Linked DNA regions of Kluyveromyces lactis. The main gene of each other region encodes a partner of the protein of the gene in region 2 in a complex. Links are inferred from orthologs where the notes say so. Each region holds a gene or a part of one and is shown on either strand. Other genes may lie near its edges.

What was found. The genes of interacting proteins can lie anywhere in the genome.
Region 1: the proteins of ATG8 (region 2) and EDE1 are in contact, whole or in part, in a crystal structure (PDB 6WY6), measured with the Saccharomyces cerevisiae proteins. The link is inferred for Kluyveromyces lactis from reciprocal best matches to the Saccharomyces cerevisiae genes ATG8 and EDE1. Residues at the interface, in NP_009475.1 of Saccharomyces cerevisiae: Phe5, Ser7, Glu8, Tyr9, Pro10, Glu12, Lys13, Ala16, Glu17, Arg20, Ile21, Arg28, Pro30, Lys46, Arg47, Lys48, Tyr49, Leu50, Val51, Pro52, Asp54, Leu55, Gln59, Phe60, Tyr62, Val63, Lys66, Arg67, Phe104; in NP_009506.1 of Saccharomyces cerevisiae: Phe1226, Ala1230, Asn1231, Ala1232, Gly1233, Ser1234, Glu1236, Gln1237, Phe1238, Glu1239, Thr1240, Ile1241, Asp1242, His1243, Asp1245, Leu1246.

The regions. Positions count from the first base shown.
Region 1 is NC_006041.1:513,711-517,995, forward strand, and holds the start of EDE1 (Ede1p), read left to right. Parts: upstream 1-1,370; coding exon 1,371-4,285. Other genes in the region: RSM7 (mitochondrial 37S ribosomal protein uS7m), read left to right, coding at 1-569; KLLA0_E05765g (uncharacterized protein), read right to left, coding at 642-1,088. UniProt on the Saccharomyces cerevisiae protein: Functions at the internalization step of the clathrin-mediated endocytosis (CME) as an early-acting scaffold protein. Requires clathrin adapter proteins, ENT1/2 and YAP1801/2, for normal spatiotemporal dynamics and viability.
Region 2 is NC_006041.1:1,828,191-1,830,782, reverse strand, and holds ATG8 (ubiquitin-like protein ATG8), read right to left. Parts: upstream 1,087-2,592; coding exon 712-1,086; downstream 1-711. Other genes in the region: NUP170 (Nup170p), read left to right, coding at 1-37; RTT105 (Rtt105p), read right to left, coding at 1,593-2,156; isoleucine--tRNA ligase ILS1, read right to left, coding at 2,526-2,592.

The DNA.
Region 1 (4,285 bases), about 1.3 Mb from region 2:
ATTATAACCCAGCTACGTCCCTTGCACCAGGTAACCAATCTAGAATTAATATCTTGGAGAAGGCTATGGAATTGAACAAGCCCAGCTTTGAGCCAAGTCAAGAGCAAATAAATGAATGGGAAACGTTGAAGCAAGTTCCCATTCCAAAAAAACAGGATCCAGTTTTACAGCATGTAACGAATATGATTATGAGACACGGGAAAAGAGAAAGAGCTGAGAAGATTCTTTCAAGAGCGTTATATATTGTGTTCTGTCAAACAAGGAAAGACCCGGTAAAAGTTTTGAAAGAATCCTTGGATGTGTTGGCGCCTCTTATGGTTATCAAGACCTTCAAGACTGGTGTCGCAAAGGCCACTGTGGTTCCAGTTCCATTGAATCAAAGACAAAGGTTTAGATTAGCTTGGAAATGGATTGTGGAAAGTTCTGTGAAGAGATCATCGAGCGATTTCTCAGTAAGACTTGGTGAAGAATTGGTATCTGTCTTCAACGGTAATAGTTCAGGTTTCGAAAAGAGAGACTCTATTCATAAGACTGCTATTGCACACAGAGCTTACATTAACCTAAAATGATCAAAGTTCCAACCTCCACTGTATTTACTTGAATAAACCTGTACATATGTATACGTGAAATATAAATGAACGTTATCGATTTTCATAGTTATGCTGAATTTGTTGCTCTATCTTATATGCAATTCCTAGGCCCAGCAGACTTCCCGAAAAATTGGCCAAAATATCGTTTACATCAAAGGACCTTTTTCCTCGTGAGAGGAACTGTTGTGCAAATTCACTGCTCGTACTGGCACATACGCAGCATACAATAAATGCCAATAGATATTTGTTCATGGAAAAAGGTTCGTACGCAGCCAAATTCCTTGATCGTAGTCTTTTGGGGATGAATGCCGGCAACTGTACGGTATCACATTCAAACATCATGGTAAACAGAACGGTTTCAATGCAAAATACTATGCAATGGGCGAGCTTATCATGAGTTGATGTTATTAGCTTTAACCTGGCATCAGTAGTTAATCCGAGGAAGACAACAAAACATACACTCGAGAAAAATGTTACTGCGTATTTATATCTTATCATTTATCAATTTTCATAAAAACTCTCAATAAGAGTTGCATACACTCTACACAATTTCTAAATGAAGTGATAAACTCAACTCTCTCATCGCATTGGAAACCTTAATCCTACATCAATGCTTCACTTCTTTATGCGATCCGAAAGTCATCTTGCACGATTATATAGTTTCATCATCTTTTTGAGATAATTGAATAACGACAAATTGGATCAAATGGTCGAAACCCCTTTCGTGAAATATAGCCGATAAACTGCAACAGATACACATCCACCACGCCTCTGGGAACCATGTCAGGTATTGCGTTCCGTGTACCCCTCACTAGTGAGGAAAAGCAAGCATTTTCCCAGCACTTTTCTCGGTTAGATAGAGAACAATTGGGAATTGTGACTGGAGAAGCTTTAAGACCTTTGTTTAGTCAATCAGGGTTAACTCCGCAACAGTTGTCGCAAATATGGACCATTTGCGATACCGAAAACGCGGGCTTCTTAACTGTTGATCAATTTAACGCCGCTCTAAGAATGGTTGCGCACTTACAGGAAAATCCAGGTGCGCAAGTTACTTTAGAATTGTATCAGACTCCTGCTTCGAAGCTCCCTTCATTCGGACAAAGTCAAAAGTTCAACTCTGCTTCTACACAACCATCTATCCCACCACCATCAAATCAGTCTCATTCTGTCCAGAGAGTCCCCTCTGTTATCAATAGATCGGTGAGCAGAACTAATACGGGTTCGTCGCCAACTTATTCCGTCATTCCTGTATGCACTCCTCATGATTATGCCAAGTTTGCCCAATTATTTGACAGATCAACGGAAGAAAGCGGTTTCCTAGCTGGTAATAAAGCAAGAGAAATCTTCCTTAAAGCAAAGTTACCAACTCAAACTCTAGGTACTATTTGGGGGTTGTGTGACAGGAGCAATAGCGGAAGCTTGGATAAAGTGGAGTTTGTTATGGCGATGCATTTGATTCAGCTAACACTACAGCAAAACGCAGCCGTTCAAAACTTACCTTCTACTTTGCCAAATTATTTGTGGAATTCTTTGAATAGTACAGCATCTTCTACTCTGACTCCACTGAGCGCCAATAACACAGGCTTCTCTTTCACATCTGGCAGTGGATCTGTTGTCAGAAATCCGGGAATTATCAGAAAACCTTCTTTGTCCAGACTTCCATCCGGTACTTTTTCTAATGCTGCAACAGATTGGACCTTGACTCTTGAAAAAAAGCAGCAGTTTGACGCTATTTTCGATTCTTTGGATAAAGAGAAAAAGGGTTCCTTAGGTTCTAACGTCTTAGTTCCATTTTTTTTGACATCGAAATTGGGACAGGATGTCTTAGCAACTGTGTGGGATCTTGCTGATATTCATAACAGTCCAGTTTTCACTAAGGTTGAATTTGCGATTGCAATGTTTTTAATTCAGAAGAAGAATGCCGGGATCGAATTGCCAGATGTTGTTCCTGATCAATTATTAAATTCGCCAGCTTTAGGTTTGTACCATCAACAACAACAACAACAACAACAACAGCGCATTAGTGTAGCAAGCACCGGAGATGCTGGTCAAAATTACCAAAATTTTGCAGCTCCGGTTCAAGCTCAGAAAACCAGTAATAGCGCTCTGGATGACTTGCTTGGTCTAAATGAATCATTCACTCCTCCGCCTCCATCTCTTCCTTCCCAGCCACAATCATCGGCTCAGCCTTCAACACATTTGGCACCAAATGCTAGGAAATTTAGACCTTCATCTACATTTGGACAAACCATTATCCCTGAAGAAGGTGGTAACGACCAGCAACAACAACAACAGCAGCAGCAGCAGCAGCAGCAGTATATGCAAACTGCTCCTACACACGTAGGCTCTGCAGCTCCTCCTCCACCACCCACTGCACGTAATTCTTCGTTACCAAGTGTTCCAAACTTTGGAGGTGTTTCTGTCCCTTCGAGGGAAGTCACTTCTAACAATCGTGAAATTGTGCCACCGGCATCGCTTTCTCAGGCCACTACTGAACTTGCAAATCTCTCCACTCAGGTGAGTTCATTAACGACACAAGCTACGAAAGTTCATGAAGAGAAAACAGCTGCTCAGAATGAACTTACTCGTATAACTAACATGAAGGCATCGATCGAGACTAAACTCATTGGTTTGCGTGCGTCTTACAATGAAGAAGTTCGTCAAACGGAGGAGATACAGACGCAATTGAACGCTCTTCGTGCACAAAACGAAGAGTTAAGTCAACAAGCTTCTGTTGCAGAGGCAAATTATCATGCTGTGCAGACTCAGAACGAGGATTTGCAAACACAGTTGCAACAAGCTCAAGAAGAGGAAAGGCAGTTAAAGGAGAGGTTGGCCCAGTTTAACACTTTGTCCTCTCAGTTACAGCAACAGTTGGCTGAAGTTCAAGAGAATGCTAAAGCTGAAAGATCCAGAGTCGATATTCATGCCAAGCAGTTAGAACTTTCAGAGATGACTGCCAACAATCTTCAAACAGAAATTCAAAGTCTTGAACAAACCCTTGGTATCTACTTATCAAAGCACAAAGAATTGGATGACTACAAAGCTACTATTGAGGCTCAGCACGCTGAGATGGAAAACAAACATAAGCAATACCTTGCAACTTCTGAAGAAGTACATGCACGTGAATTGGAAGTTCAATCCAGAACAGCAGAGATAGAAAAGCAGGAACAACTATACCGTGATCAAGTATCGAGGTTGCAAGAACTATTTAATGATTTGAATAAAAGGAAGTCGGAGTTTGAAGCAGCAAATGCAGAGTTTGAGAAGCAACAGTATGACTATGCCGATAGAGTCCAAAAATTCTCTGAGAATCAAATGAAGTTAGCCATGGGAGAAACCCCTGATGATGAGTATACAAACGAATTGATTCAAAAAAGACTGCAAATTCAGACTGCCCAGCCAGCTGAGGAGGAGGAAAAACCAGAAAGTGTTTTCGACAAAGATGTTCCAACTCCTGTCTCACAAACTGAACCTGACGAAGAACAAAATCAACAATTAGAAGATGATCAATTAAGCGAGCAGCAATTACATGACCAGCAGGGTAATGATGAAGTTGCTGCCGAAGCGATGGCAGATTCTTTCGAAGGAAGTTTAAACGAATACGGCATCCCTAGAACAGAATCTGTCACATCGTCGACAGCCAACAATCCACCTCAATCAGTTAGAGACGAAGTCGAGAGTGAGCCAAAGGA
Region 2 (2,592 bases):
AAATTACAAAAAGCGCACAGGTGATAGTGTGTTTTGAGTTACTCTAACCTTTCAGCGAGATGGTAAAAAAAAGAACAGCTTTAGTTTAAAACGTCTGTTGTGGTGTTTATTTCCCTTTGTATACTATATTGATAAATAACATTTTCACCCCAATCTTAATAAACAAAACAACTAATATCAATATTGCTTTCTTATGATGTTGCGATAAGTCTTTGGTTATGGAAAGAATATATTAAACCGAATTTCGACCTGCAATCTGCTGAAGAGGTATATAAAATTGTATATTTATGAAGAACCTCTTTCGAAGTGAAAAAAAAAAGCCTAGAGATTTCATTATGGAACGGCAACATATGACTTCATCAGCAGGTATTATAAGCAACGCTTTGTCCAGATCTAGGGAACTGTTGCAGCTAGAAATATGAGAATAGGATAAATAGAAGGGAAAACATATCAGAAAGATTTCAAATACTGCTTCGGTATATATCTAGAGCAAAAGGTGTGGAAGAATAGAAAATAATAGCATCGTAGACATTCGACAATGCATTTCATCTTATCATCACTTCAATATTGTTATTCAGGTTCTTTCTTTTAGATCATCTTTTCAACAATATCTGGTTCAAAATTGTGCATTAGTTACTTGTTTTGCATCAAGCAGAACAACCTAATGGAATCATAAAAGAAAACTTAAAGGGAAGAAAGTTTAACTTAATCTCATTCCTCAGAAAACAGGGCATCGTCACCAAAAGTGTTTTCACTCGAATAGGATACATAAAGGAACCCGTCCTTATCCTTGTGTTGTTGGTAAATAGAAGACATTAAAGCTGCTGTTGGAGGTAAAGTATCATTGACAAAGATGAAAATAGCCTTTTCAGCAGGTAGCTTGATTCTCTTTCTAATTACATAAACAAATTGGCCAACAGTCAAATCTCCTGGCACCAAATATTTGCGTTTATCAATGTCTGGAATATCCGATTTGCCACCTCTTTCACAGATCACTGGAATACGGTTATGGAACTTTTGCACTATCCTTTCAGATTCAGCCTTTCTCTTTTCAAATGGGAACTCAGATTTGAATGCAGATTTCATTGCGTTTTAAAACTCTCTCCTATAATACGTAACACCGATAAAAATAATCAAACTCTCTTGAAATATTCTCCTGTCTCTATTTCAAACTAATAACCCGAAAAGATGTTTGTAACTTAACTTTCAAAAGTCTAGCTGATTTGTTCCAACTCTTGAATCGTGTTGTGTCTCTTTTTATCCGTCTTTCTGGTTCTTTCTCTCTCTCAAGAAAAAAACTTGCACGTAATAGCACTGTACTGCACTTTTCTTGCAAAACTCAAACAGATTACTGGGTAGCTAAGAAAAACGCTCTTTGTTTAGTTATCGATGATATGCGCCGCTTTGATCTTCGCGTGTGTTCCCTTTTTATACCCTTTCTGCTGTTTGGAAAATGACAAAACAAAAGTGTTCCCCCCTTAAACGGTTTGAGATGCCGTTGACCCTTAAGTCACGTGGGAAAGACAGAAAATGAATCACGTGATATCCGGGTAACAATACTATGTACGTATATATGTGTGGAAGCTGCTGCTCTATATGCTAAAGCCAGATAAGGTTTCCTCGAGCTCCTGTTGTTCTTGCTCCATCAAGGATTCGTACTCTTCCTGCAGTTCTATCAGCCGTATCAGCTCTTCATCCTCATTTAGCTGTTTTGGCTCCCTCTTTGTGGAAATATTATTCAACATAGCGGGTTCATCGGCACTATTCACGACCTCTCCTTCATCTTCTACCAGTCTATCAATCTCATCTGGCGGTATCTCGTGTTTCTGTGCTTCTTGTTGCATGTCTTGCAAGTGTCGTAGGTATTCTTGTTCCATGACGAATTGTTCCATGTCGTTTCTGTAGCTATTGATCTTCTTCTCTCTTGCCAGTTCCCGTAGTCTGCCCTTCCTTCTTTCTCTCATAAGGTCTCTAATGGGGGACGATGATGATAACGGTTGCTTGTACCTTTGATATTTGAGCTTTCGCTCTTCCAATATTTCATCAGTGATATTAGAATCGGCTCTTCCATCGTTACTTTGGACATTGTCAAGATCGGAATCGCTATCTTCTTCGTGATATCTGCCATGAACCGGACTGCTCGGTATACAGTTCATGTAGAGCTTCAAAGTTGTGGATTAACGTCTGCAATACACCGGACGGCCTGCTCCAGGCTTCTTTCCCCAGCGTACATAGAAATAACCTTAATCCTTTTGGCGTTTAATGATGCTGGTCTAGAGATATGGTTTTTTGTTCGATTAACTTCATAAACTGAAAACGCCTTAGAATTACATATACACATTATATTCGAAATAAGATATGAGATCGACTGTTGCTAGAGAATCAGCAGAGGTGATCTACGGAGCCAATAATTGCAATTAAATTAATTAAATGTGGTGAATTTATAAGTAGTACGGACGGGTTTCGTTTCACTAGAGAAACGTAACTGCTATACATTTTTTCCCACTTTATATACATTTCAACATCTATAATTTGAAAATCTTCAACTTGAAGATGGTATCGTTGATAGATAGTTCTTCATCAGCAAGTGGA